Linked DNA regions of Xenopus tropicalis. The protein of the gene in region 1 purifies or fractionates together with the protein of each later gene. This does not show direct contact. Links are inferred from orthologs where the notes say so. Each region holds a gene or a part of one and is shown on either strand. Other genes may lie near its edges.

Region 1 (4,022 bases):
GATTTTTCCTTTTATCATCAACCTTTTATCTCATGTTATGATACATTTTGCTTTAGCAATTATTCGCTATATCAAGCATTTTGTTTAAATAGTTTATTTGAAACAAATCTTTCTTTTTAACGTGAGATGTAAAAGGATTAGGCTGATGCCACACGTGGCGTTTTTACGCTGCGTATTTTCTAATTCTCTCAGCGGCTGAAAAACGCCCAATATCATCATCCATAGAAATAACTTGAAAAGACTCGAAGCAAACCACACAAAGCGTAAATACGCTAGAAAACGCCTTAGCACGGATTTTTCAAGCGTTGGCTGAAATACGCCAGTATTTGCACAGCCAGCTATTCCTATGTATACACAAAGGCAGCTGCCAGACCTAGCGGAAATACGCAGCGTTTTTTACTATTTCGCACTATTAGCTCCATGGAAAAGGGATTTGCTATGTCACCAGTACTAGGCTGAAAAACGCCATAGTCAGGGGCTGTGTGGCTTGTGCGGCGTTTTTAGGCTGAGAAAAAACGCAGCGGAAAAACGCCGCGTGTGGCATCAGCCTTACAGAACATTCCTTTACCGGTGCTCCATCTGCTGCTATGCTCTCTGTACCTTTTGCTTAATTGTTACTAGTAATTTCTCTTTGTTTTCATACAATTAAAAATATTCTATAACTATATAAAAAAGGATTTCTAGTGGATTTGTTGATTTAAAAAAAGAAATCAAATCATTATCTTCTGAAACTAAAGCACCAGTGTTGCCCGTTCAGTTCTGTACTTCACACTGTGGGTCGAACACTAGTGGGTCTGACAAGATGGCACTGCAGCCAGGTGTGTGTTTTGGAAAGAAGAGCTCAGCAGGACCCCCAGATACAGAAGAACGGCCCCTGCCTCAGCACAAGTGACCCCCTTCCTTACAAATCACTCAGTACAGTGTTATTTAGTACTTGGGCAGCAGCCCATAGCAACCAATCAGTGATTAGTTTTCTCCTTCCAGCTGCAGGTACAATACAAAAATAACAATCTGATTGGTTGCCATGGGTTACTGCCCAGGAACAAAAACTTGCTCTGTTTGGCAAACTTTACTCCCGCGTCTCCACACAAACAGCGCCTAGATCGTTTAAGAGCGCACACTAACACCAGGGGGCGGTAGCGCTAGTGTTTCCGTGTTCCAGGCGGGCTGGTTTGATGACGTATAGTCGACGCGCCGGAAGTTAGTCGCCTGAGTGCAGAGCGCTGGACTTCGTGGTGTTTGTAGTTCTATTAATCGGTAAGGCTGGCTCTTTCCACCAAACTGGAGAAGATGGCGGTGGAATCGCGGGTGACGCAGGAGGAGATAAAAAAGGAACCGGAGAAACCAATCGATAGAGAGAAGGTAATGGGAGAGTTCATTGAATGGGATCCGGTCCCAAATACAGCCGTGTTGTTACTCTGAGCGGAATCTCTCAGGCACCACATAGAACCCTGCCTAGAATTACTAATACCAATGCCTAGAATTACTAATACCAATGCCTAGAATTACTAATACCAATGCCTAGAATTACTAATACCAGTGCCTAGAATTACTAATACCAGTGCCTAGAATTACTAATACCAGTGCCTAGAATTACTAATACCAGTGCCTAGAATTACTAATACCAATGCCTAGAATTACTAATACCAATGCCTAGAATTACTAATACCAGTGCCTAGAATTACTAATACCAATGCCTAGAATTACTAATACCAATGCCTAGAATTACTAATACCAGTGCCTAGAATTACTAATACCAATGCCTAGAATTACTAATACCAATGCCTAGAATTACTAATACCAGTGCCTAGAATTACTAATACCAATGCCTAGAATTACTAATACCAATGCCTAGAATTACTAATACCAGTGCCTAGAATTACTAATACCAGTGCCTAGAATTACTAATACCAATGCCTAGAATTACTAATACCAATGCCTAGAATTACTAATACCAATGCCTAGAATTACTAATACCACTAAGCGCTACATGTAAGCGAAATGAATCACTCATGGTTAGTGTAGTGCCTAGGGCTCTATTGCCAGCACTTTTGAGCAATTAAAGGAAAACTTAACCCTTAGAAGGAATATGGGAAGAAACTGTATTTTATATACTGAATGTAATACAAAAGCCGGAAGGTTCAGCATCTCTATGATTCTCTATGGCTTCAATGAGCCAGGCCTTCTGAGTTATCATAGGAGCTCCCCATGTTGGATTTTGTTAGAGGTGTCACTGACACTGCACATGCTCAGTGTGCTCTGAGAAGCTAAAGCATAGGGGTTGTTACAAATCATGAAGTTCATATAAGTTGTTGCTGCAGGGCTGATTATTAAAGGAACAGTAACACCCAAAAATTAAAGAGTTTTAAAGTAAAAGAAATATAATGTACTGTTGCCCTGCACTGGTTAAAGGTAAAAGTTGTGTGTTTGATACAGTAACTCTACTATAGTTTATATAAATAAGCTGCTGTGTAGCCATGGGGGCAGCCATTCAAGCTGGAAAAAAGGAGAAAAGGCACAGGTTACATAGCAGATAACTAATAAGCTCTGTAGAATACAATGGTGTTTTATCTGTTATCTGCTAAGTGCCTGTGCCTTTTCTCCTTTGAATGGCTGCCCCCATGGCTACACAGCTAAATTCTTTATATAAACCATAGTAGTGTTTCTGAGGCAAACACACCAGTTGTACCAGTGCAGAGCAGCAGTACATTATATTGGAATTTCTTTTATACACTTGAATTTTTTTGGTGTTACTGTTCCTTTAAACTCAGAAGCTGACACTTGAGAATCTGAATTAATTACTAATCAGCTCAGGTACAGGACAGCAGCATAGTATGGGCAGTGAATCAGCAGGAAAGAAGATGGGGGGGCTACTGGGGGTACAGATCTTCCCTGCTAAAGGGTCGTGGTTGTGTTGCACAACATTTCTAACCTATTTTTTGTTAAGCTTTAGTTTTCCTTTAATGTGCACAAAGTGGGCAGTGTAACACAAGTGTAAATGTAACAAGCTTCTTCGCCAGATTCCCACATATCTACCATCCAGCCCAGTGTTCTGAACCAGATCTGCCTCAACCCATTGCCATTTTCTTCCTAGACCTGCCCTCTTCTCTTGAGGGTTTTCACAACAAACAACGGGAGACACCATCGCATGGATGAATTTTCGAGGGGAAACGTGCCATCCAGTGAGCTACAGATCTATACCTGGTGAGATAAGCAGTAAAGGTATTATGTTATGGGGGAAAATCCTGCTAGAATGTAAGGAAAGTGGGGGTCATTCCTGCTCTGCTCCAGTCTCACACAGAGTTCAGATAATGTGCCCATGTGGCAGACATGCTGCTATGCCACTACCCATGGGTTCTGCTCAGCAAACATGAGCCCTATAGTAAGCTATGCTATTACCCATGGTTTCTCTGAAAATTTTGAAAAGAGATTCTGATTTGAGCCACTAGGCCCCCTGTGTTTTTATAAATATTATGGAAATGCACTCCTGAGCACAGGTTTGGTATTTGGTTCAGACTGTAACCATATTTATAGAGCAGCGTGCATTTATGTATATAATATGTGAATTTAGTTTTTTGTAGTTCTTGTTTATGATATATATGATTTCATGTTTATCTGCTTTATTGCTTTTAGGATGGATGCCACGCTGAAGGAATTAACAAGCTTAGTTAAAGAAGTTTACCCAGATGCTCGGAAAAAAGGAACTCATTTCAACTTTGCTATTGTCTATCCGGATCCAAAGCGATCAGGCTACAGGTTTGGCTACATTTAGGAATTCTATTTTTATTTCTAACGGACCAGGCAGAAATATATCTGCAGTATTCCCAAAATGCAGAGTAGTGAGGTTCCCACTTCCCTCTGAAACAATTGCTCACTATTGCAGTAGAAGCCAGGTCCTAATCGGCTTTAGCTGCGAATGCTCAATGATGGCATTTGGTCTAGAGAAAAAAATGAAGCAATGGGAGATGGAGCACACCAACCCTGCTGCACTGCCCTGCACTTTGGGAACAGCAAAGGCAAAC
Region 2 (3,989 bases), about 82 Mb from region 1:
TAAAAGGCATACATTTTCGAGTATTTTTCTGTTATGGATTTTTTTTACATTCCAGCATCAGTTTCTTAAATACTTTTGCACTTTTTGAAGTGCTTTTCCACTTCAGCCCAGGGTTGCACTCCCTACTCTGTAAAGCGCTGGGCAATATATAAATGTACGTATAACTTTATTTATAAAGCGTTAGAAGGGTACACAGCGCTATACAATCTTACAATATACACAATTACACACAGGGAGGACAACTGTTATAATAAATACAAGAAGTATAAATACACAGATTGAGCGCCATGTGGTGTGAGAGAGTAGGAAGGAGGTCCCTGCCCCATAGAGCTTACAATTTCACTGCCCAATCTAAGCTCGACTAAAATAAAACAAACAAATATGCACAAGGCCCAAACAGGAGTGTAATGTAAGGCATGTATTTATTATCAACACATAAATATTTGTAGAGTGTAAGCTCTTTTGGGCAGGGCCCTCTTCACCTCTTGTATCGGTTATTGATTGCTTTATATGCTACTCTGTATGTCCAATGTATAAAACCCTTTTATTGTACAGCGCTGCAGAATATGTTGGCGCTTTATAAATAAATGTTAATAATAATAAATAGGACAAAGTCTTCCCAACCTTGTTTGCAATATTACCCTGACAGCAGTTACAAAGTATTGAATTGCAGTGCTACTTTAATGGGGAAACCATTGAGAGTGGACCACAGAGACCTTATCCGCACACCCTAACACTCCAAAAAAAATTTTGTACGGTGCACACTGCTAGAGGGATCGGCACCCTCCAAATACACTGTAACAACAAAAAAAGCAATTGGCACTCAGGACTACAAACAAGGGTAAAACCCTTTTAAAAGTTTTATTGCGGAAACCATTGAGAGCACACCTGTAGTTAATGATTTTCATACTCATAATGAATGTCACTGCAGATAAAGAGCTAACAGCCTCCGACCATGGTTCTATAATACAAAACCACCTAACAACAGCCATGGCGCACGACGAGTAACAAAACATTTTTCAAACAACACCCACTGCCCTCCCCCACTATGGGCGCGCATTTCCTGGACGGACGTGACGTCAAGCACAGGGTATAGAAAGCCCCCCTATCACATACAGAGAAGCAGCTTGAGCTCAGGTTTCTAGTATAAATATTACCTCAGTGAATAGATTCTTTCTTAGGGCCGTAATTGGCACATAGCTTTAGGAACATTGCATCGTGAAGACGTGGAAACGAGAGGCTCTATATTGTCTCGGCGTAAGATTACCTTTGTTGAGGACGCACCACTGCGAGTTCTTAGTATCCTTGCGCGGCTAAAGCAAGGGAGGAAGTAACTCCGCCATCTTGTCCAAGCTCTGAAGCGCGCATCGAAGGTCTGTTTGGCTTCCAACTCCATTTCTTTTTCTTCTCAATCCGTCTCCCTTTAAATCCATCAAGCTGGATATGTCAGGGGGCGGCGTGATTAGGGGGCCGGCGGGTAACAACGATTGCCGTATCTATGTTGGCAATCTGCCGCCAGACATCCGCACCAAGGACATTGAGGACGTTTTCTACAAGTATGGGGCCATTCGGGACATAGACCTAAAGAACCGCAGAGGGGGCCCGCCATTCGCCTTTGTGGAATTCGAAGATCCAAGGTAATCCCTGTGTAAATGTTTTTGCTTTGGCCTATCGTGCTAATGGGCTCGCCTAGTGTTAACTGGTGAATAACTACAATATACCTTGAGTGTATCCGGGGGCGGGGTGGTGGTACTGCGACTTTATTTCTGCTGTAGTTGATAAAATGTCGTCCGCTGTTGTATTAGAGTTTATATATAGTCGAGGAGGCCAGTGAGGGGGGGAATTAGGCCTGATTATGGTGCAGGTTATGTTTCAACATCGGTGCGTTGTATCATTATTCAAGTTAATATATTTAGCCTATAATCCCTACAGAGTGGCGCCAGAATGAGGTATTATACACTCATTGTGTATCGCCATTAGCACGTGTAAATCCCTATTTATTACCGCCTTTAGGCAACAGCGCCCCCTGTGTGTGGGACCGAATAGCGCTTCCGCTCTTTGTTCTGCAGCCCTGCACCATGCTTACTAGTGTGTTAAGGGAAGGCATTCTAACAAGCAAATGTGCTTTGGGTTATTTATTGACCTGTTTGCTTTAAAGCCGCTGCCTCATGTCTCTGCTATAAAGCATGCAATTAGGCTCACTGCACTTATTCAACCAGAACTCCTAACACCTTTTATGTAGGCTGCTTGGAGAAGTGCAGTATTGATATTCAATAGCAACACTACAAAATGAATAATGGGTGTTTAAGCATCTGCACTATATGCACATATGTAAAGTATTGGTGAAAATGTACTGTTTAAATGTAAATACAAAAGCTTTTGTGTAGTCATGGGGGCAGCCATTCATGTCTAAAAGACTGTTAAGATACAATGGCTTGCTTACACAGAATTAATCTGGGGTCATGTGTCGTTTGTAGCTCTATACATGACTGTAATAAAGTTTTCTCATTTACAGCCAAGAAAGTTTTCCAGGATATGTAATTACCATTGTAGGTGAATATTCTCTTCTTAACCTGGCATTCTTTAACTAAAGCAATTCTTACCTTGGTTTCTCTTAGGGATGCAGAAGATGCTGTCTATGGTAGAGATGGCTATGATTATGATGGCTATCGCTTGCGTGTTGAGTTTCCAAGAAGTGGGCGAGGAGCTGGAGGCAGAGGTGGTGGTGGTGGTGGCGGCGGCGGAGGAGGAGGTGGTGGAGGCGGCGGCGGCGGTGGTGGTGGTGGCGGCGGAGGAGGAGCTCCCCGAGGGAGATATGGACCTCCATCAAGACGTTCAGAATACAGAGTGGTTGTGTCAGGTAAGAGTTCTATCAGGTGGCAGGTTTAAAAACCAAAGTAAAAACATCAGTTGCAAAGTTTTAGAGGAATAATGCCCATCAGGTTTTTACAAGCAGCGTTATTTCACATGTATACAATAATGAGTTGGACACAGTTATGCATACATTCTAAAGTATTATGCATTCTATACCAGTGGATATGACTGACCATTAATGTATACAAACAGAACTACTAGTATATCTCCCTTTAACTTTAGTTCAGTTAACGGCTTGCATCAGCTTAACAGAACTTAAGCAACTCTCTGCTTGGTCCTTGCAAGGTAGATAATTGTATTACAGTTCACACACAATTCTCCTGCATAATGGACTTCAAACCATGCAGTCACAAGAAAAGGGAAGGATAGGGTATTGTCTTCAAACAAGATATTAAATGGCCCTGTCTGGTTGCTCAGGATGCTATCTGGACTATGAAAACTTGCACATGTTGCTATGTTACCTTCAGTTCAAACATGAAGCACTGCAACAAATTTACCTTTAAAACGTACTAAATGTAAACCCCTGAGTTATTTTAGCAGAATTGGGCTGTTGTGAGTCTCGCTGGAAGCATGGTTCAGATTAAAACAATGGGTTTTCCCCAGGATGCTGTGTTCATTTAAGCAATACAGCTGTCTTTGGACTGTTTTAATGCTCCATGCATTGCTGTATAACCAGCATAGATACCTACTCTTGGAATTTTGGCACTAGAAGTTCATAAACCATTTTAAATTTCCACCATTTGCATGCTTTTAATTATGTATAAAACTGCTTTTGATACCAAATTTGACACTCTGATAACTTTATATTTCTAGGGTTGCCTCCAAGTGGCAGCTGGCAGGATTTAAAGGATCACATGCGTGAAGCAGGTGATGTATGTTATGCCGATGTGTTCCGAGATGGTACTGGAGTTGTGGAGTTTGTGAGGAAAGAAGATATGACATATGCAGTACGGAAGCTGGATAACACTAAATTTAGGTCTCATGAGGTAAATACTAAATTGTTTAGTAGTTTGTGTTAAGTTTTTCTCTACCTATTGTGACTAGCAGTATCTGTTTTACATGACCTCTGAAGCCAATAGTGATGTTGGCCAAATACATAAGGTGCCAAAAGATAT

What was found.
Region 2: the proteins of sap18 (region 1) and srsf1 purify together in Homo sapiens (co-immunoprecipitation; 4 studies listed by BioGRID and IntAct, with this or other methods). This does not show direct contact. The link is inferred for Xenopus tropicalis from reciprocal best matches to the Homo sapiens genes SAP18 and SRSF1.

Annotation. Positions count from the first base shown.
Region 1 is NC_030678.2:157,764,680-157,768,701, reverse strand, and holds the start of sap18 (histone deacetylase complex subunit SAP18), read left to right. Parts: upstream 1-1,222; 5' UTR 1,223-1,290; coding exon 1,291-1,362; intron 1,363-3,094; coding exon 3,095-3,204; intron 3,205-3,633; coding exon 3,634-3,756; intron 3,757-4,022. UniProt on the Homo sapiens protein: Component of the SIN3-repressing complex. Enhances the ability of SIN3-HDAC1-mediated transcriptional repression. When tethered to the promoter, it can direct the formation of a repressive complex to core histone proteins.
Region 2 is NC_030678.2:76,103,894-76,107,882, forward strand, and holds the start of srsf1 (serine/arginine-rich splicing factor 1), read left to right. Parts: upstream 1-1,189; 5' UTR 1,190-1,443; coding exon 1,444-1,637; intron 1,638-2,618; coding exon 2,619-2,860; intron 2,861-3,687; coding exon 3,688-3,860; intron 3,861-3,989. UniProt on the Homo sapiens protein: Plays a role in preventing exon skipping, ensuring the accuracy of splicing and regulating alternative splicing.